Linked DNA regions of Saccharomyces cerevisiae S288C. Each later gene encodes a partner of the first gene's protein in a complex. Each region holds a gene or a part of one and is shown on either strand. Other genes may lie near its edges. The genes, in order: PRP6, SMD3, SMD1 and SMD2.

Evidence for each region.
Region 2: PRP6 (region 1) and SMD3 share a complex: the UniProt entries of both Saccharomyces cerevisiae proteins name them as parts of the U4/U6-U5 tri-snRNP complex.
Region 3: PRP6 (region 1) and SMD1 share a complex: the UniProt entries of both Saccharomyces cerevisiae proteins name them as parts of the U4/U6-U5 tri-snRNP complex.
Region 4: PRP6 (region 1) and SMD2 share a complex: the UniProt entries of both Saccharomyces cerevisiae proteins name them as parts of the U4/U6-U5 tri-snRNP complex.

The regions. Positions count from the first base shown.
Region 1 is NC_001134.8:342,915-349,745, forward strand, and holds PRP6 (U4/U6-U5 snRNP complex subunit PRP6), read right to left. Parts: upstream 4,388-6,831; coding exon 1,688-4,387; downstream 1-1,687. Other genes in the region: YRO2 (Yro2p), read left to right, coding at 187-1,221; MRX18 (17-beta-hydroxysteroid dehydrogenase-like protein), read left to right, coding at 4,965-6,470. UniProt on the Saccharomyces cerevisiae protein: Participates in pre-mRNA splicing. Part of the U4/U5/U6 tri-snRNP complex, one of the building blocks of the spliceosome.
Region 2 is NC_001144.5:431,683-436,004, forward strand, and holds SMD3 (mRNA splicing protein SMD3), read right to left. Parts: upstream 2,782-4,322; coding exon 2,476-2,781; downstream 1-2,475. Other genes in the region: ACF2 (endo-1,3(4)-beta-glucanase), read right to left, coding at 1-334; RMP1 (Rmp1p), read left to right, coding at 486-1,091; SPE4 (spermine synthase), read right to left, coding at 1,141-2,043; YLR146W-A (uncharacterized protein), read left to right, coding at 2,188-2,376; tethering complex subunit PEP3, read left to right, coding at 2,959-4,322. UniProt on the Saccharomyces cerevisiae protein: Plays a role in pre-mRNA splicing as a core component of the spliceosomal U1, U2, U4 and U5 small nuclear ribonucleoproteins (snRNPs), the building blocks of the spliceosome. Also binds telomerase RNA and is required for its accumulation.
Region 3 is NC_001139.9:633,113-638,009, reverse strand, and holds SMD1 (mRNA splicing protein SMD1), read right to left. Parts: upstream 2,299-4,897; coding exon 1,858-2,298; downstream 1-1,857. Other genes in the region: PEX8 (Pex8p), read left to right, coding at 1-266; mitochondrial 54S ribosomal protein mL59 MRPL25, read left to right, coding at 433-906; U4/U6-U5 snRNP complex subunit PRP38, read left to right, coding at 1,135-1,863; UPF3 (Upf3p), read right to left, coding at 2,543-3,706; ENV11 (Env11p), read left to right, coding at 3,947-4,897. UniProt on the Saccharomyces cerevisiae protein: lays a role in pre-mRNA splicing as a core component of the spliceosomal U1, U2, U4 and U5 small nuclear ribonucleoproteins (snRNPs), the building blocks of the spliceosome. Also binds telomerase RNA and is required for its accumulation.
Region 4 is NC_001144.5:692,851-697,275, reverse strand, and holds SMD2 (mRNA splicing protein SMD2), read right to left. Parts: upstream 2,899-4,425; coding exon 2,894-2,898; intron 2,804-2,893; coding exon 2,476-2,803; downstream 1-2,475. Other genes in the region: cleavage polyadenylation factor subunit YSH1, read left to right, coding at 1-120; DBP9 (ATP-dependent DNA/RNA helicase), read left to right, coding at 446-2,230; MCM DNA helicase complex subunit MCM5, read right to left, coding at 3,394-4,425. UniProt on the Saccharomyces cerevisiae protein: Plays a role in pre-mRNA splicing as a core component of the spliceosomal U1, U2, U4 and U5 small nuclear ribonucleoproteins (snRNPs), the building blocks of the spliceosome.

The DNA.
Region 1 (6,831 bases):
CTTTTTTACTCAAAACTAATAGCTTATTCTGGTTATTTTTAATCAATCTAGAATTTTTTTCTTTTAATTCCAAACAATCTAATAACGTTTAACCACTAATTCTTTAATTATTAATATTTAATTTTAAAAATCTTCTAATTTTCCTGATAACTTAAAGTGACACTATTTTTTAAAAAAAGCATCAAAATGTCTGATTATGTTGAACTATTGAAAAGAGGTGGTAACGAAGCCATCAAAATTAATCCACCAACCGGTGCTGATTTCCACATTACATCTCGTGGTTCAGACTGGCTTTTCACCGTTTTTTGTGTTAACCTACTATTCGGTGTGATTTTAGTCCCACTAATGTTTAGAAAACCAGTTAAGGACAGATTCGTATATTATACGGCCATTGCTCCAAATTTGTTCATGTCAATTGCTTATTTCACCATGGCTTCTAACTTGGGTTGGATCCCAGTCAGAGCAAAGTACAACCATGTACAAACTTCTACCCAAAAGGAGCACCCAGGTTACAGACAAATTTTTTACGCTAGATACGTTGGCTGGTTTTTGGCTTTCCCATGGCCAATTATTCAAATGTCTCTACTTGGTGGTACTCCATTATGGCAAATTGCTTTCAATGTTGGTATGACTGAAATATTTACTGTCTGCTGGTTGATTGCTGCCTGTGTCCACTCTACTTACAAATGGGGTTACTACACCATTGGTATTGGTGCTGCCATTGTTGTTTGTATTAGTTTGATGACAACTACATTCAACCTGGTCAAGGCCAGAGGTAAGGATGTCTCTAACGTTTTCATTACTTTCATGAGTGTCATCATGTTTTTGTGGCTGATTGCTTACCCAACCTGTTTTGGTATCACAGATGGTGGTAACGTTTTGCAACCAGATTCTGCTACCATTTTCTATGGTATTATTGATTTGTTGATCCTATCTATCTTGCCAGTTCTTTTCATGCCATTGGCTAACTATTTGGGGATTGAAAGATTAGGTTTAATCTTCGACGAAGAACCCGCTGAACATGTTGGTCCAGTTGCTGAAAAGAAGATGCCATCTCCAGCTTCTTTCAAGTCATCTGATTCTGACTCTAGTATCAAGGAGAAGTTAAAGCTAAAGAAGAAGCACAAGAAGGACAAGAAGAAGGCTAAGAAGGCTAAGAAGGCCAAGAAGGCCAAGAAAGCCCAAGAAGAGGAGGAGGATGTAGCCACCGACTCTGAGTAAATGCTTTGATCTGCTGATGTAGCAATGTTTTTTTCCTTCTTTTTCCTGACGTATTATTATTTGAGACCGAAACTTCGCTGGAAAAGAAACACTTCGATCCTTTTTTTATCTTCTGCATTATAACGCGCAACGATGAAGTGTTAATACATGAAAGAAGATGGGATTGGATTGTAGCGACCAAAGGCCACAAATAAATATGCACTGTTTTTAAATTTTTTTTTCATTAAAAAAATACGAATAAATTCCTTAAACACATACATCATTTTGCTTCAAATTTTTACGTTTGTAAGAAAGACCATTTGTTGTCTTAATACCTATGAAGCACTACTTATAATCTTAATTAAATCTAATTCTTTTCTTTAACTTTTTTTTTGAGCATCGCTTCTATCAATTATGTGTATACATACATACATACATATAAATATACGCGCAGGCTAAGTAGAAAACAACGCAAGATAGAATTACTTTATTTGTCATTCATCAAGCGCAATAAAATCTCTCTAGGTGTGCAGTATTGCATTTTTACGTTCTTGGAGGCGGCTATCCATTCGGGTCCGTAAGTAGGCTCACATTGATCGAACATATTGTAGAGATCAACAGTATCCTTGCCTAACCTTGCATATGTCCTAAATAGCCAAACCCATGTATCTCCGTAACGCGAGCACTTTTTCAGAGCTCTTTCTAACCATTTTAATGATGTTTCATATTGCGCTTCTGCATAAAAGGATACTCCAATCTCCAAAAGAACGCGATGATCGTTTTGTGTCCTTCTTAAAGCATCTTGAAAAATTGTTTTTTTTAACGAACTTTTGTTTCCATGCTTAAACAGCTTGATTTGCTCCACCCAAAGTAAAGCATTGCTTGGAAACTTTTGCAATGCCTGTGTGACGAGTAACTCCGCCTGATCTAAGTTACCAAGTCTTATTTCCATTTGGATTTTAGCAATGTAAAATAATACATCGTCAGGATTTTTTAACAATCCTCTATCTAAAATTGATCTTGCCCTTACTGGATTTTTTAGATCAATCTCGTCAATCTTTGATAGGGAAACCCATAATAAAGGGCAATTGGGCACTAACCTTGTACCAGACAAATAGGTTTCTCTACTCATTTCAATATTGCCCATGGAATGATAAATTTGACCCAGCTGTAAAAAAAATTTGTGGCAGATGGGAAATGATTTCAAACATCTCTCATTCAAGAATTTTATAGCCTCTTCATTCAGATCTTGGTACCGCAGAAAGTTTACGTATTTATAATATAATCTTTCCGTGCCACTGATCTTAAAATCCTCTAAAGAGGAGAAAGTTTGCTGAAAAAAATCTCGTAATTCATCAAGTTGTAGTGAACGACCTAATAACTTTATCTTGAAAAAGCGTAAATCCAAATTATGCGGGGCGAAATCTATAATCTGGTCAATCAAAACTAGTGTTTGCCTAGTATCCCCTTTTTGGGCCTTCCAATATTCGCTTACATACATCATTAACAAGCCAGGGCTTTTCTCCCTCATATTTGCTCGTATATCATCACTATTCTTGGTCTGAAATAGCAGCTCCTGGAAAAATGCTAATAACTCTTCAATTTTATGGTAGCTTTCAGTGGCCATTTTCAGTCTAGACCAAAGAACTGTATCACAAGGATCCCACTGAATAAGCTTTTTTAAGACAGCAATTTGTACCTTTGAGTGTGGCATTTTTTCTAATATCTGATCAACATTATTCAACTCAGACTCATACTCGCCACTTTCTCTTAACCATTCTAATATAGCGTAAACGATGGCTTGACAGGTTAAATTTGAATTGGGCGCATCATTTAGAGCCTCTGCACGTTTCAACCATGCTGACAAGGTCGCTTTGTACCCATTTTTAGAGAGTTCCAATAAACCCTCCTTGAGCAAACTAACTAGTTTATCTACAGGTATATCTGGGTTATTTCGTTCTTCCAAGAGTGTAGAGATAATCCAAATTTCCGGTTCTTGCGGAAGGATTTTTCTGAAGGAATTCAAAGTCATTTTAGCATTATGATAGCTTTGCAAATTAGTATATGCAGTCAAGAGATCCATACTTTGTGGAATAAATTGTGTGGCTTTCTCTAACATTTTTATAACTTGCGCTTTGTCAGCTTCAAAACTGACAGCTAGCTTCCATAGGCCCTCATCTCGAGGAATCTCTTGCAGTGCTTTTCTCACTACTCTATATTTGTTAACCGTTGTGCTTTCCAAATCAATAGCTTTGAACCAAAGAAGCGGAGACGTTGGATTAAAATTTATTGCCGTTGCCACTAATGTTTTACAGTAGTGAACATCAGATTCGTGTAGTCTAATGTTTTCTAGCCAAATATCGGAGCTTCGAGGGCACTCTTGGCAACCATTTTCTATTATTTTTTTTGCTACTGAAAATTTTCTTGCCTTTTCTTCTAATCTGGCAGAAGCTATCCAACCCTGTGGATTTGTTGGATCGGCCTTTCTGTATGACTTTAAAATTGTGCGCATTTTCTGTAAATCTTCTAACGTTGCGTCTGAGAGAGAATTTACTCTATCGTTTTCTAAGTCCTTTAAGTAACTTAGGGCATCGGTAGCAGCGTTCGGTTTATTAACCTGTATAGGGTTACTTGCATTCTTCGTTAATTGTGCAAGATTCTCATCTATTTGAGATTGCAATAATTTTTCTCGTTCTTCCGTTAATTTATTTAAATCAACATTCCCAGGTATTAGCGAATCCGGTGCAGCATAAGTTTTTCTGTTTAATTGCTCTTGAATTCTATTTCTCTTGTTTCTTCTTGTAAAATCTGTGGCATCCGGAATATCCATCCACTCACTCTCCGTTACAGCAGCTAATGATTCTTTCAAATCGGCAAATTGCCGTTTCACGTTTGAAGAATCAACTGAATTGTCATCATCCTTTTCATTAGCTCTTTTCTTTTTCTTTTGTGCTAATTTCAATTCAAGCGTTTTGAATACATTTGCAGCTTCATCATCTTCATCATCTTTCGGTTGGCTTTGAAGATGGTTGTTCAAATTTTCACGGTACCTTTTCGGTATTCTTCTTCCTTTGTCATCATTACTAACCACTTGCTTTTCTTTTGTTGAAAATCCAGTGGCTCCACGACCAATACCTGGTACGTAACCTGCAGGTGGTTCTTGATCCAAAAAAGATGGCCTCTCCATAAAATGTGACGTTTTCTTGCTGTTAAACTCTTTATGTCAACTCACCCGTATATTTTCTGAAATTTTTCGTTTTTTTTTGCTTAATAGAACAATCTGACACACTATAAATGTACTGGTTAAATTAGCCCAAGGTTCTATCAACGGTAAAGAAGACTTTTAAAAATACTTTCGTTACATTATTTATTAAAAGAAGAAACGCCATCATTTCATAAAGGTCTCCGGAGGAGCTACTAAAGAAAGAGTGCTGCAATTAATACAATTAATATAAGTGTGGTTATTGAAAATAACTATTCATTTATACGGAGGGTTGGCCGAGTGGTCTAAGGCGGCAGACTTAAGATCTGTTGGACGGTTGTCCGCGCGAGTTCGAACCTCGCATCCTTCAGTAATATTTTTTTAATATACATTTTCTCTGCCATCATGGCTTAAAAAATGCTTAAAAGAAGGGAATTAGGGGGGATGGATGAACTAAGACATAACTTTCTTTTCTTCAATTCGAACTCTGTTGGGAAGAGTTGCTTTAAAAAAGACTCTCTATCCATCTATAAAATTTATTAAAACTTTTGAACTGCACAGAATGATTGGCTCACTTAGAAACAAATTTGAGCATTTCAAAGTTTCTGAAAAGGGAGGTCAAAATTTATCTACAACACTACCGAAACTACCCCCTGCAAAGGACCTTGATAGATCAACTATCTACAAGTACCGTTACAATTATGGTGTAAACTTGGGTGCGTTATTTGTGCTCGAACCATGGATTTTTTCTAAAGAAACCATTTGTACAATCGATGGGAAAGAATATGATAGCGAATTTGATGCTATTTCCCAACAATTGAAGAAGCATTCTTCTGAAGACGTTGCGAAAATGTTAAGCGATCACTATAAAAAGTACATTGATCGAATTGACTGGGAATGGCTATCTAAAGATGCCCATATTACAGCGTTACGTATTCCAATTGGATATTGGCATGTCGAAGATGGGAAGCATTTAGATTCGCTTCCATTTGCCCCATTGAGAAAAGTTTATGAGTTAGCCAAACCTTGGGAAAAACTTGGCGAATTAATCAATAATGCCAAGAAAATGAGCATTGGTGTATTGATAGATTTGCATGGTCTACCAGGAGGCGCTAATTGCGACTCACACAGTGGCTCGAAGAGTGGTGAAGCTGCGTTTTTCCACAAGGAAAAGTACATGACCAAAGTCTACAAAGATATTTTACCTGCAATTATTAACACAATGACTCTGGGCAACGAAAACATCATTGGTATTCAAGTGGTTAATGAGGCATGTTTTGATAATAACCCAAAGGGCCAAAAATTCTATTATTCAGAAGCCATTAATACCGTTGAAAAACTTCAACCAGGTTTACCTGTCATAATATCCGATGGTTGGTGGCCCCAACAATGGGCAGACTGGGTTAAAGAAAAACATTTTAGTGAAATAGTGGTCATTGATTCTCATGTCTACCGCTGTTTTTCTGATTCTGATAAGTCGAAGGATGCCAATTCCATTATCAAGGATTTGCCAAATACTGTGAATTTTCCTCATGAAGATGCCGATTATACTGTTGGTGAATTTTCTGGTGTTCTTGATGGACAAACTTGGAATAAAACTTCTGGCGACAGAGACGCTATTGTTCAAAAATACGTACAAACCCAAGCAGATGTATTTTCTCATGTAGCTAGTTGGGGTTGGTTTTTTTGGACTTTGCAGTTTGAATACGGTGATGGAGGTGAATGGGGCTTAGCTCCCATGATGCAGAAAGGAAATTTACCAAAACGTCCTCACGGTGATGACTTACAAGTCGACAAGAAGAAAATAGATTCAATAATCCATGAACACGAGGCTTATTGGAACGGTAAAGGTAAAAATTTTGAACACTGGAGGTTTGAGGATGGCATAAAGACAGCTGTTGATGATATAATTGCCTTTAGGAAATTTGACAATTCATTAATTGGTAGATGGCATTCATGGAAGTCGCAAAGAAGAGCTGAATACGTTTCTGCCAAAAAAGATAGCGAATTTATGTGGGAATGGGATCAAGGCTACCAACGTGGGTTAGATGAGTTTAATAAGTATTAAGAAATATACAAACACATATATACTAACTATAGGCGTTTCTATTCTTTTGGTTTACTGTCGAAAATAAAAAAAAAGCTGTTGTGGCGGCACTTCGTAAGTTTTCAATTATCCAGCTACTGCCAGTAGAGTACTCAATACTTTTACTTTCAGCTGAAATGAGGTTTTTCTTTAAATGAAGTTGATACGCAATATCATAAAAGCACCGGAATAATGGTAATCAAGATGAAGCGCTATGATATTTTTAGTATTTGCCATCTTCAAATCATTCTATTTTACCCAATAGAACATTCAAGTAAGGTGAACTATTTAAATTAAAAACTCAAGTAACATGGGCGATCTTTAAGCATTTGAGAGTTATTAA
Region 2 (4,322 bases), on another chromosome or scaffold:
CCAATGGATCAACAGATTGATCATCAATATTCGGCTTTGGTACCGGGTGTTGAACTTTGTTGAAGACGGAAGGAGGAGCTTTTAAGTTAGAAAGGACAGGTGATTGAAAAATATTGTCACTATTCACCTGGCTGTCAGCTAAAGGGTTAGAACTGCTTGGTGTGCGCAGTGATTCACCTGCCACCCTATTTTCTCGAGGTTTACTGGAGTTCTCAGAAGAACAAACTGGTGGCTGAACATTTGCGCGAGGTGGTAAGGGAGGAGGTCCTCTATTGGTAGTACCGCCAGGTCTATTAGGAACAGGTGGAGGAATGGCTTGCCTACTGTAACACATCTTTTTACTTCTCGTATTTATTTATTTTTGTTTTTATGATACTAGCACTTTTCAGAAATTCATGAATTTTATTTATGGTTCCAAGAAAAAAACTTCAAAGAAATGAGTACTAGAATGATATATCCACAAAAAAAAAAAGAGCAGAAACAAAATGGATGAGATGGATAATGTGATACGATCTCTGGAGCAAGAATATCGGTTAATATTGCTCTTGAACCATAGGAACAAAAATCAACATAGAGCGGCTAGCTGGTATGGATCGTTCAATGAGATGAAAAGAAATTGTGGACAAATAATAACGCTTTTTAGCTCGAGAAGATTACAAGCCAAACGCCTTAAAGATGTTGAATGGGTCAAGTTGCACAGGCTATTACAGAGAGCACTTTTTAGACAGTTAAAGAGATGGTACTGGCAGTTCAATGGCGTAATTGCGCTGGGACAATTTGTAACGTTGGGTTGTACACTAGTAACATTGCTGGCAAATGTGAGGGCACTGTATATGAGATTATGGGAGATTAATGAAACTGAGTTTATAAGATGTGGATGCTTAATAAAGAACTTACCGAGAACAAAAGCAAAATCGGTTGTGAACGATGTCGAAGAACTTGGAGAAATTATAGATGAAGATATTGGCAACAACGTTCAAGAAAACGAACTAGTGATAACGTCTATACCAAAGCCTCTGACAGAGAACTGTAAGAAGAAAAAGAAAAGGAAAAAGAAGAACAAATCAGCCATTGATGGCATATTCGGATAAATATACAAGTAAATAGACTTTTTAAAATAATAATATCAATGCTAATAAATCATTCATTAATGACCTTGTCTGCCCAAGTAGGCAAAACAAACGCACTAGAATGTATTTGAGGATTATAGTACTTCAGCTTCCCTTGTTCTTGCTCAGATATCTTTCTTTGCGGAATGTTCAACGGTATATTGGCGTTATTACTGCAAACAATTAAACCTAATTGGCCAGATGTATAGGTTGGAACCATGGTATAGCAATATTCTGTATTAGGAAATACCTTTTTGGCTGTATTTTTCAAATCATGTAAGTATTTTAAATTTAACCAAAAATTTTCAGAGCTTTGCATAATAACAACGCCATTAGGATTTAAAGCATCTTTCAATAGTTCGAAATACCTCTCTTGAAAAAACGCTTCAGCTGGACCTTCAGGATCAGAACTATCTGTAATAATGACGTCAAATTTCTTATGGACGTCGGAAGCACCTATATCTTGTAAGAACTTGAAGCCATCGCAAAGTTTCAAGTCCAACCTTTCGTCATCGAAAGCACCATTACTCAATGTGGGCAAGAACTTACGGGATAATTCGATCACTGATGAGTCAATTTCTACCATAGTGATATCTTCTACACAGCTGTGCTTGGCTACTTCCCTTAAGACACCTCCGTCCCCACCGCCAATGATAAGTACACGCTTGGGATTAGAATGCGCAAACATGGCAATGTGGGTGATCATCTCTTGATAGGCAAACTCATCAAATTCCGTACATTGGACAATACCATCGAGGACCAAAACAGTACCGTATACCTTGTTACGGAAGATTAAGATGTCCTGAAATTCACTGCGGGCTTCATAAAGTATTGAGTCCACGGTCATAGTAAAGGCCTGGCCCGGAAAACTTTTATCATTAATCTCTCTAAACCATCCATCTTTGATGTAAGGATGCTGTGAATTATTAACCATAATGTATAACTGAATCTGTCACTTTATCCTGCCTGTCTCATCGGCGTTTTGATATTTTATTTTTAACTAAAATCAGCAGCAACTTGAAAAATTTTGAGATAACCTTAAAAAGGATCTAGCAATAAAGAGAAGCTCGAAGTAGCCATGGACACTGAAGAGAAAAAAAAGACTACAGCGTCAGTAGAGCATGCCCGGATGTTGCAAAATGAAATACAACAGTTATTTGCTCAGTTGCGGGATACGAATTCTCAAATTCGCTGCGATCTTAACGAGTTTGAACAAATAAAGGAATCATCTACAACAGCGGATTCAACCACGAACAGTGCGAACTGATAAATTTATATTCAAATATATTTTACATAAACAATATTAATATATATATATATTCCCCCTACAATGATGAATGCGTTTCTGCCGTCACGTTTCCTATTATCACCTTCTCTTAGGTCCTCTTATTGGTGGCATAGGTCTTGATGAGTTTTTTTTGAATAATGGTGCATTCTTTAAGAGATCTGGAACAACGATAAATTTGATCTGTGACCCACGTACGAATATTTGATCCATGTGTGTTACAGCCCCCTGGGGCTCTGTAGCTATTACATCTCTTAGCTGTACGTTCATGCTATCTTCGCTTTCAACAAGTTTACCACGATAAGTCGCTCCCGTTGTTAGCTCCAGAGAAACGATATGTCCCTGTGCCTCATTTAATAATTTCACTGGTATTCCATTCATAGTCATTGTTTCTGATACGTGCCTCGCAGCGCTTTCTGATTCTCTTCGTATTGCTCTTATAAGAATTTTTTAACGATTTCAAAAATATCAAATCTATAGAACGAAAGAAATAAGAAGCTGCCATCCCTAGAAAAGTAAAAACTATAAGGTACCAAGAAGTAAAAAGAGAAATATAGGGATATAATGATAAAAACACGTATAGAGGAAGTTCAGTTACAATTCCTCACAGGGAATACCGAACTTACGCATTTGAAAGTCTCCAATGATCAACTTATAGTAACGACACAACGGACAATTTACAGAATAAATTTACAAGATCCGGCCATCGTCAATCACTTTGACTGTCCATTAAGCAAGGAACTAGAAACTATAATGAATGTTCATGTTTCACCAATGGGTAGTGTCATTCTTATTCGAACCAACTTTGGCCGGTATATGTTGCTAAAGGATGGCGAATTCACTCAATTGAACAAAATAAAAAATCTCGACCTCAGCTCGCTACATTGGATCAACGAAACCACCTTTCTGATGGGAATCAAGAAGACGCCCAAGTTGTACCGAGTTGAATTGACAGGAAAGGATATAACCACGAAGCTATGGTATGAAAACAAGAAACTCTCTGGTGGAATTGATGGCATTGCGTATTGGGAGGGCTCTCTGCTATTAACTATAAAAGACAACATTTTATACTGGAGAGACGTGACAAATATGAAATTTCCTTTAGTATTACCAGATGAATCTGAGCAATTTGAAAGGTTAAAACATCATGCGATAAAGAAATTCGATTCGTACAATGGACTCTTTGCTTGGGTCACATCCAATGGAATTGTCTTTGGTGATTTAAAAGAAAAGCAAATGGAAAAAGATCCTGCTTCTAATAATTTTGGAAAATTCCTATCTTCGTCGAAGGTTCTACTCAATTTCGAACTGCCTGACTACCAGAATGATAAAGATCACCTCATCAAGGATATAGTTTTGACTGCTTTCCACATCCTGCTTTTGAGAAAAAATACGGTAACAATGGTGAGTCAATTAAATAACGACGTAGTGTTTCATGAAACTATACCGAGACACCAGTTGACTGGCTCCAACACTGATAGTAATGAGAAATTTTTAGGCCTAGTAAGAGATTCGGTGAAAGAAACGTTTTGGTGTTTCTCAAACATCAACGTCTTTGAAATTATTATCGAAAATGAGCCTAATTCGGTATGGAATTTATTAGTTCGGGATAACAAATTTGACAAGGCCCTATCGTTGAAAGGCTTGACGGTGAGGGAAATAGAATCTGTAAAACTTTCAAAGGCAATGTACCTTTTCCACACTGCTAAAGATTTTCATTCCGCGGCTCAAACTTTGGGAAGCATGAAGGACTTGTCACACTTTGGGGAAATCGCATTGAATTTTCTCCAAATAAAAGATTACAACGATTTGAACGTAATATTGATAAAACAGTTGGATAACGTTCCCTGGAAATCAACTCAAGTCGTCTTGTCGAGTTGGATTATTTGGAATTTTATGAAACAATTGAATGATATTGAATTAAAGAT
Region 3 (4,897 bases), on another chromosome or scaffold:
CTTTGCACGAGACGTATATCAGAATTGTTAATGTAAAAAACCCAGAAAAGAAGAATGTATTGATTGAATGTCTGATTGTACAAATAGCCTTTATCAACAATCCTCATCATTTGATCGGCTGGTTGAACATCTGTCTCCAGCTAATCAATACACATAACAAAAAGCTACTTCAACAATTGTGGGAAATGGTTTCGAGTCTAGAATCCTCCCTAGCCATCGACTGGTGGTACACAACGGTCTTATCAAGTCAATCTTCTAAATTATAGTATCATTAAGTACTTTATAGTAGCGCCTTTTTATATTCCTTTTTTCTCAAACAAAAAAAAAAAATGACTGGGATACAAGTGAAAGTGGAAGAGCAAGTGAAATACGAAATAAAGTGAACCATTTATACAGAATAGGAAAACCAACTAGTGCATTAAACTAAACTCCATGTCATACAAACAGTATTTTGATAGTTTGCCTTTGAAATTGAAGTCCTTTTTCCAAAGATACCCCCCTTCAATCAAGTATTCTCCAGTGTCTACATCTACTAAAGCCATTAATGCCAATCCTTTCCTGCCAAATAAACATCCGGTCACACAACGATTTCATGATCCGAAATATTCACTTAGAAGAATGAGTGACGTATATAAGTTGGCACTGCGTTATGGAGTAGAAGAGTTTTTACCACCGATCGAAAACACTAAGAAACTTTTCTTCGAGGAGAAATACAATAAAAAGACCCTCATGAAAGGTGTTCTCTTGCCCAAGGGTCATAAGCATGAATTGAAATTAAACGAAAAGCTAAAAAAACGTGAAGAAGCTTTAAAGAAGGTAGATGAGTTGATTGCTTCCAAGAAGGGTTCGAAGTATGCCAAGAGAGTAGAAAAAATGAAAAAAAACCAAAGTATAGGCTGGTTCTGAAGAATAAGAGAGAAGATAACTATAGTTTAGAATAGTAAACCCTATGTGTACTGTTTTATGTTTTTAATGTCTAATCATGTAAATAATTTTGTGATATCAATAACGAACGTTCTGAACAAGAATTATGATAAAAAAAAGTAAAATCTAAAGCCATTACAACGCTATATTTTCAGTGGCAGTAAAAACGCAAGAACAAAAACAAAACGTGGGTAAAGAACAAGGACTACAATGGCTGTCAATGAATTTCAAGTGGAGTCTAACATCTCTCCAAAACAACTGAATAACCAGTCAGTGTCACTTGTTATTCCTCGGTTGACAAGAGATAAAATTCATAATTCAATGTACTATAAAGTAAATCTAAGCAACGAATCTTTGAGAGGCAATACAATGGTAGAGCTTTTGAAAGTTATGATTGGCGCATTTGGTACCATAAAAGGTCAAAATGGTCATTTACACATGATGGTTCTCGGTGGCATTGAGTTTAAATGCATCTTAATGAAGTTAATCGAAATCAGACCGAATTTCCAGCAGTTGAACTTCTTATTGAATGTAAAAAATGAGAACGGTTTTGACTCGAAATATATTATTGCTTTGCTTCTGGTTTATGCGCGGTTACAGTATTATTATTTGAATGGCAATAACAAAAACGATGATGATGAAAATGATTTGATAAAGTTATTTAAAGTACAATTATACAAATATTCACAGCATTATTTCAAACTAAAAAGTTTCCCACTACAAGTAGACTGCTTTGCTCACTCCTATAACGAAGAACTTTGTATAATACACATTGATGAATTAGTCGATTGGTTGGCCACACAGGACCATATCTGGGGTATTCCATTAGGGAAATGTCAATGGAATAAAATATACAACTCTGATGAAGAGAGTAGTTCTAGCGAAAGCGAAAGTAATGGTGACAGTGAAGATGACAACGACACCAGCAGCGAATCATAGACCTCTTCTTGGCCTTTTATTCGCTGGTGCACCAAAATCGCGCCTTCTCTTTTTGCTGGGGTCATTTGCAATTTGACCCGATCTTCTTAGGGAATTAAGTTGCTTTTGGTCAACCAAAAGTGAATCCAGGTTCAAGGAATCAGGTAAGATTATCTGTCTTATGGTATTGCCTCTAATGTTTATGTATTGCAAACTTGCTATGTTGTCACTTGCAGTAGGTTGCTGTCCTCCAGTCAAGTACAGACTAGCCATCGCAATACCATTACTGTTCAATTTATTTAGTCGGGGTTGTGGTAGGGTCAACTTCACGTCAGTTAAGATAGCATTCATTTGTGGTGATACCGACTGCAGTGTACCCCAAACGGTGGTACCGTTTTTTAGTTCTATGGTAACCTGCTCATTGCGCAGCTTTTTTAAAAAGTTAACCAACTTCATAATCTTTTTCTCGACGATTTATAAACGATACTTGGAGTCATCTTTCTTCATGACAATTTCATTGTATATGAACATTTCATATATTTTATTATTTTAAATATTCATTGAAAAATCATTAAATACGAAACTCAGAATTTATAATGGGGAATACTTTATGTAATAATATAATCATAAAATATATAATTCTTATTATTTTATTATAAATGTATTCCATATATAATATATAAGAAGCCATGAGCTTTTACTACTTCTTGGTATCATCACGATGCAAAATTTTTACCCGTGGTACGAAAAGGTTTTCTTTAGGTTGGAACGACGGCTGGGTTTGAGCGGATGATGACTGAGGCTGAGAGGAGTTTGATATTTTTAACTTCTCTTGCAAAAGCATTTTCTTCTTCCTTTGTTTCAAAACCTCTTTACCCGCTTCCTCAATAATAACCACATTACTGTTCTTGGTCTTAGAAATGGTGCTTTTTTCACGATTTTCACGCTTCTTCTTGCCTCTGTTCCGTTTTTTCTTTGGTATCTTAGCGGATGCTTCCTCTTCTTTGAATTTCTTTTTGGCGTTTTTATTTTTCTTCTTTTTGTTCTTATTCTTGACCTTATCACCAGTTCCAACCAGCTCTGTTAACACCCTTTCTGTTCTTTCTGCTATTTTATTTTCTAACTCTATGCTTTTTGAGAATTCTTTTTCTAAAGATTTCAATACGCTAAAATCTTGGAATGAGTACTCGTCATTTTCATTCAGCTGTTTCATTGAATTCATAAATGTTTTAAAAATTTCGTCTTCTTCAATTGTTCCTACTAGCGCGGCATCCTTTTTTGATGTTTGAGTGAATTTCTTTACGTAGGGCGACAGTTTCATATCTGGAATTGTAATATTATCCTTATTATCAATGAATTTACAAGTTTTAATGAAATTTGCGCATTTTTCCAAGTCTGATAAGTTGTCGAACAAGAAATTGCACCGAGAATATGTCGAGTTTTTGAATACTTTACTAGAATAATGACCTTCAAAAAAACACCAGTCACTGTACTTGAGTTTACCCTGGATATCTTGCTTATCACCATCATCGTTATTATTATCTCGTAAGATGGCAAAAAATTCATCTGCAGTCAAATTTGGAGGTAGCAATCTAATAACAAGCTTAAATCCTTCATTCTCGGTTGATTTACCCAATCTAGCCTTTCTTTTATAGTTATAATACTCTCTGTTCCTTTTCTTGTTATTCCTTCTGCCTTTGCTATTGTTGTGGGTAGCATTAGTAGCATTATTAACCTTATTCTCATTCTTTTTAGGATCTACCGTCTCATTCTTACTTTTTCCTCTGTTCTTGTTATGATACCTATTTCCCCTGCCTTTCTTTTTCCCCTCACTATTCTTCAATTCCCCAGCCACATTGCTCATGATAGATTACTATATATTTCAGCAGAAATGTAAGTCCCTCAGTAGGTTTTCCTTTCCTCTTTGCTGATATATTCATGCAATAATCATCGACAATATTTTCTTTTGTATCTTACTTTTTAGGCGAAAAATTTTCAACTTTTGATCAGCAAACAATACACAAAATAAATAAAGGGATGATAAACCATAGAATAACAAAAGTCTTCCGAAATAGCATATGTACCAATCTACTCAATCATTAATATGAACACTGCATTGGATGATTTACATGGGGATTTGGTGACTTTAGAAGATAACGAAATCATCAATAATTCTGATCATTCATCTTCTCACTCTACTAGTCATGAGGAGGAAGACGAGGAAGAAGACGATACTGAGGATATAGAACTTATAGAAAAAGACGGCAATAAAATCCTATCAAGTAGAATTCATCCGGAAGACGAAATCATAAATGATGGGTTAAATATATGGATTCCGGTTCAAATGCTCAAGAAGAATATAGCAAAGTTCTGGTCCCATTTTCTAGCAATTGAAAAGAAATTAACGAAAGTTAAATGTAAACATTGTGGAGAGATACTAACAAGAAGCGATGCAAGTTTGACAAAAACCTTTAGATCTCACTTGAAAACAAAGCATAATATAAGTGCCAATAAAAACTTCTATTCCATGAATTTCACAGTAGGAGACTCCAATCTCAAAAACAATACTTCCAGCACAGAAATTACACGTAGACACGGCTATGATTCGTTAACCTTCAATTCCGACCAAAGTTTCAAATGCTTTGACATAGGAAAATTACAGAGCAGTAATTACCTTTCTATTTCCCAATTAGTAGCCATAGTCATAGCCTCAGAAAATTTACCGCTGAACTTCTTTGAGAATGTGTCCTTTAAATCTCTTTTATCAAAATTTCATAGGATCCCTCCTTTAACTACCAATATAATAGAGGAGTCAATTATAGGGTTGTCAAAATCAATTGATGAGTTGATCAGAAGGTCTATATCAAGGAATGATACACAATTACCCTTTACTATCCATTTATCCGATAGTAAGGAATCAAATCAACCTCTTTACTTGAAATATTCTAGGGAAATTCGGGCACAATTGTCTAACTTGGACTTATCCCATCTTATTTCTGTAAATTTTACAGAACTGGCTGGAAAAAGATCATTATTTTCTTTGCAACTGTTCGAT
Region 4 (4,425 bases), on another chromosome or scaffold:
AGCACTGCTAAGATTGACTTCAACAATATGAAAATTTTAGAATGTAATTCAAATCCTTTGAAAGGTAGGGTGGAAAGCCTCTTAAATATTGGTGGTAATTTGGTCACACCGCTATGTTAAAAACAGTTACGCATACTAAGTAGACTACTTTATAGAAGTAATACCAAACCAAAATCTGGTTAGAACTGCCTTTTATTGTTTACCTTAATCACTCTTTACGTAATGAAACCTAGAGATGAAATTTTAAAAATTTTTTTTCACGAACATAAAGAATAACTCTTCTAGACCATCTCATCTCATCTCATCTCATCTCATTTCATTTCGATTCTTCTAATTTCTTTCATTGAGTAAGAGCCTTTTGTTTTGGCTGATAGTTATAGTCAATCTACAATTTATCTCACAAAAGAAATAGACTAAGCCAAAACTGCAACGAAAGATCAAAAAAATGAGCTATGAGAAAAAGTCTGTGGAAGGCGCTTATATTGACGATTCTACAACGTTCGAAGCATTTCATCTCGACTCTCGTTTATTACAAGCTATTAAGAATATAGGATTTCAGTACCCAACATTAATTCAATCACATGCTATTCCTTTGGCTTTACAACAGAAGAGAGATATTATAGCAAAGGCCGCTACAGGTTCCGGAAAAACTTTGGCATACCTCATTCCTGTAATTGAAACTATCCTAGAATATAAAAAAACAATTGATAACGGAGAGGAAAATGGTACACTAGGTATTATACTTGTTCCAACAAGAGAACTGGCTCAACAAGTATATAATGTTTTAGAAAAACTAGTCTTATATTGTTCAAAAGATATAAGAACTCTGAACATATCATCCGATATGTCTGACTCAGTTTTGAGCACTCTACTTATGGATCAACCAGAAATCATAGTTGGTACACCTGGTAAATTATTGGATTTGTTGCAAACAAAGATTAATTCTATCTCATTGAACGAACTAAAATTTTTAGTAGTTGATGAGGTGGATTTAGTGTTAACATTTGGTTATCAAGATGATTTAAACAAAATTGGAGAGTACTTACCATTGAAAAAAAATTTACAAACATTTTTGATGAGTGCAACCCTAAATGACGATATACAGGCTTTGAAACAAAAATTTTGTCGTTCTCCAGCTATTCTTAAATTCAATGACGAGGAAATAAATAAGAACCAAAACAAATTACTTCAATATTACGTTAAAGTCAGTGAATTTGACAAATTCTTACTATGCTATGTCATTTTTAAACTTAACTTAATCAAGGGTAAAACATTAATTTTTGTAAATAATATTGACAGAGGATATAGGCTCAAGCTAGTTATGGAACAATTTGGTATCAAGTCCTGTATTTTAAACAGCGAGCTACCCGTTAATTCGAGGCAACATATTGTTGACCAATTCAATAAAAACGTTTACCAACTATTGATTGCCACAGATGACACCGAGTACATAAAAGAGGAAGATGACGAAATAGAAGAAGGGCACAATACAGAAAATCAAGAAGAAAAAAGCTTGGAAGGCGAGCCTGAGAACGATAAGAAACCAAGCAAGAAAAAGAAGGTCCAAGTGAAGAAAGATAAGGAATATGGTGTTTCTCGTGGTGTTGATTTCAAAAATGTTGCATGTGTCCTCAATTTCGATTTACCTACGACGGCTAAGTCCTACGTGCATAGAGTAGGTAGAACTGCTCGTGGCGGAAAGACCGGTACTGCAATTTCATTCGTAGTCCCACTGAAAGAATTTGGTAAGCATAAGCCATCAATGCTACAGACAGCAAAGAAGGATGAAAGGATTCTTTCACGAATCATCAAACAACAGAGCAAACTTGGATTAGAATTACAGCCTTACAAATTCGATCAAAAGCAGGTCGAGGCGTTCCGTTACAGAATGGAAGACGGTTTCCGTGCTGTTACTCAAGTTGCCATTAGAGAAGCTAGGGTCAAAGAGTTGAAACAAGAACTATTGGCAAGTGAGAAGTTGAAAAGACATTTTGAGGAGAATCCAAAAGAGCTACAAAGTTTAAGACACGATAAAGAATTACATCCAGCAAGAGTGCAACAGCATTTAAAGCGTGTTCCAGATTACTTGCTTCCTGAATCAGCCAGAGGAAATGGAACCAAAGTCAAGTTTGTTCCTTTCCACAATGCTAAGAAGCGCCATTCACATAAAAAGGGAAGAGTCAGTAAGCCAAAGAATGGTAAAGTAGACCCGTTGAAGAACTTCAAATGATTAATAATATTGATATTTATTCTATATTTTATGTAAAAATCTACTTATTAAAAATGCTCTTTAGTTAAATGTGATAATATAGATGCTTTATTCGTTTTCTTGAATATAATACTTTCGCAAGAGCTAGAAAATCAGCCAATAATAATTGGTCTTACTTCCAAAATAAAAAAAGGCTTTCCGCTGACTGTAAAGTTTCTTACGATGATTTGCTTTCCTTGTTGATTGAGGGCTGCTTGTCTTACTTTTTACTCAACAGGGGTTTTTAACACAACGATAACTGAATCACCTCTTAAGAATAGTTTACTTATGAATCTTTCCCGATTAATTACATTTTTGCCCTTCTTCTCTGTCCAAAGCTCCTTCACATTTTCTAAAACCATATTACAATGCCTGTCGAAAGCTTTCACTCTCGCTATTATTTTATGATTGTTTCTTAATGAGATTATCACAGGTGTTCTTGTCACCATAGCATCATTTATCAGGGACATTGGACCATGTTTGAATTCAAATTCTTCTAGTTCCTCTAATTCTGCTCTAGAGAGTTCATGTTTTGGACGATCAATTATTTGTGAACTGGAAAGATACAAATCAATTACTTTTAAGTTAGTATATAAAAATTCACTCCAAATTATAGGATGTAAAAATGGTTAAGATCAAACATACGACATGATAAAACGGTTTTATAATACTCCTCTAATCAACTGTCAAAGGCGGGGCAAACGTGATGGCGCTTGCTATTAAGAATGATGATGTTCTAGTGATGATGTTCTTGTCATACCTTTTGAGTAAGATAATTTTCATTTGGTAGTATTACCCGTAGTAATATCACGATAGGACAAATTGGTCCCCATAAAGTCACTTCAAGAGCTCATGTACTGTAGGATTGTTCAGTGGTAAATCGACCTCTATTTTCTAATTTCTTTCGTATGTCTTTGATTTCAATTTCTTTTTTAAGAAGCTTTGAATTATTTTGATTGACGGTCATATCAAGTCTGTGCGTTTATTATACAAAAAGAATATGAGACGCAGATGAAACCTCAAAAAGTATAATTTCGTTTACAGAATTTATATAGAAATATAATAATGAAGTATTTGTAGCGAATTTTTTAGATTCATTACATGCAAACAAGTAGAAAAGGCGTCAAGCTAAGACTTTATTGTTGTCATACACCACTTCTGTAAATATTCTGTCCCTGGTGTCTCAATTGAATTGTTTCATGCTTCTCTAGGGCATATAAGGCCTTATCCAGTGCTAATTGAGAAAATCTATGTGTATCTACAAATTCTCTCCTCAAAGTTTGATAAGAAGTAGACCAGCCTATAGGTAATCTTCTTTTTAGTTCTTGTTCAAAACGACGGATTTCTGACAAAGATGTTCCGCTTGCTTGATTTAAGCCGCCAATTGGATCCTGAGACGCTGCGTCCATTGTGGAAGCTTGAAACAATCTAATAGCTTCGTCAACATGTCTCTCCTGTGCAATAGGACTTAATTCTAACTTGGCTAATGATTCTGTTATTCTAATAATAGCTTCTAATTGACGAATGGTAATTGGAATAGACGACCTTTCCGTTGACTCTAATTCGTTGATTAATAATTGCTTCCTAATGGTGACGAAGTTCGATGACAGTTTTTCAGCGGCCTGCGGTGAAAGTCTTGGTGCACATTTCAATCTACAATACGTAATGTAACGTTTCATCTTTTCAATACTAATTTCACTGCCATTTTCCTCTTGTTGGTTTTGCATAGCATTAGCATTTCCTGTATGAATATTAATAACGTGGTTAGCTATTGAAATATCACGTTCTTCATTATGGTCATCCTTAACAATAAAAATCATATCAAAACGGGATAAAATAGTAGTTTGGAAATCAATGTTGTCACCAGGAGACTTCAAATCATCATACCGGCCGTATATCGGATTAGCAGCCGCTAAAACACTAGTTCTAGAATTTAGCACTGTAGTGATACCAGCTTTTGCGATGGAGATTGTTTGCTGCTCCATAGCTTCATGAATGGCCACTCTATCTTCATCTCTCATTTTATCGAATTCATCGATGCATACAACACCACCATCGGCAAGCACCATAGCACCACCTTCCAAATAAAATTCTCTTGTCATCGGATCTCTTTGTACACTGGCAGTTAACCCAGCTGCAGAAGATCCCTTACCAGATGTATATACCGCAATAGGTGA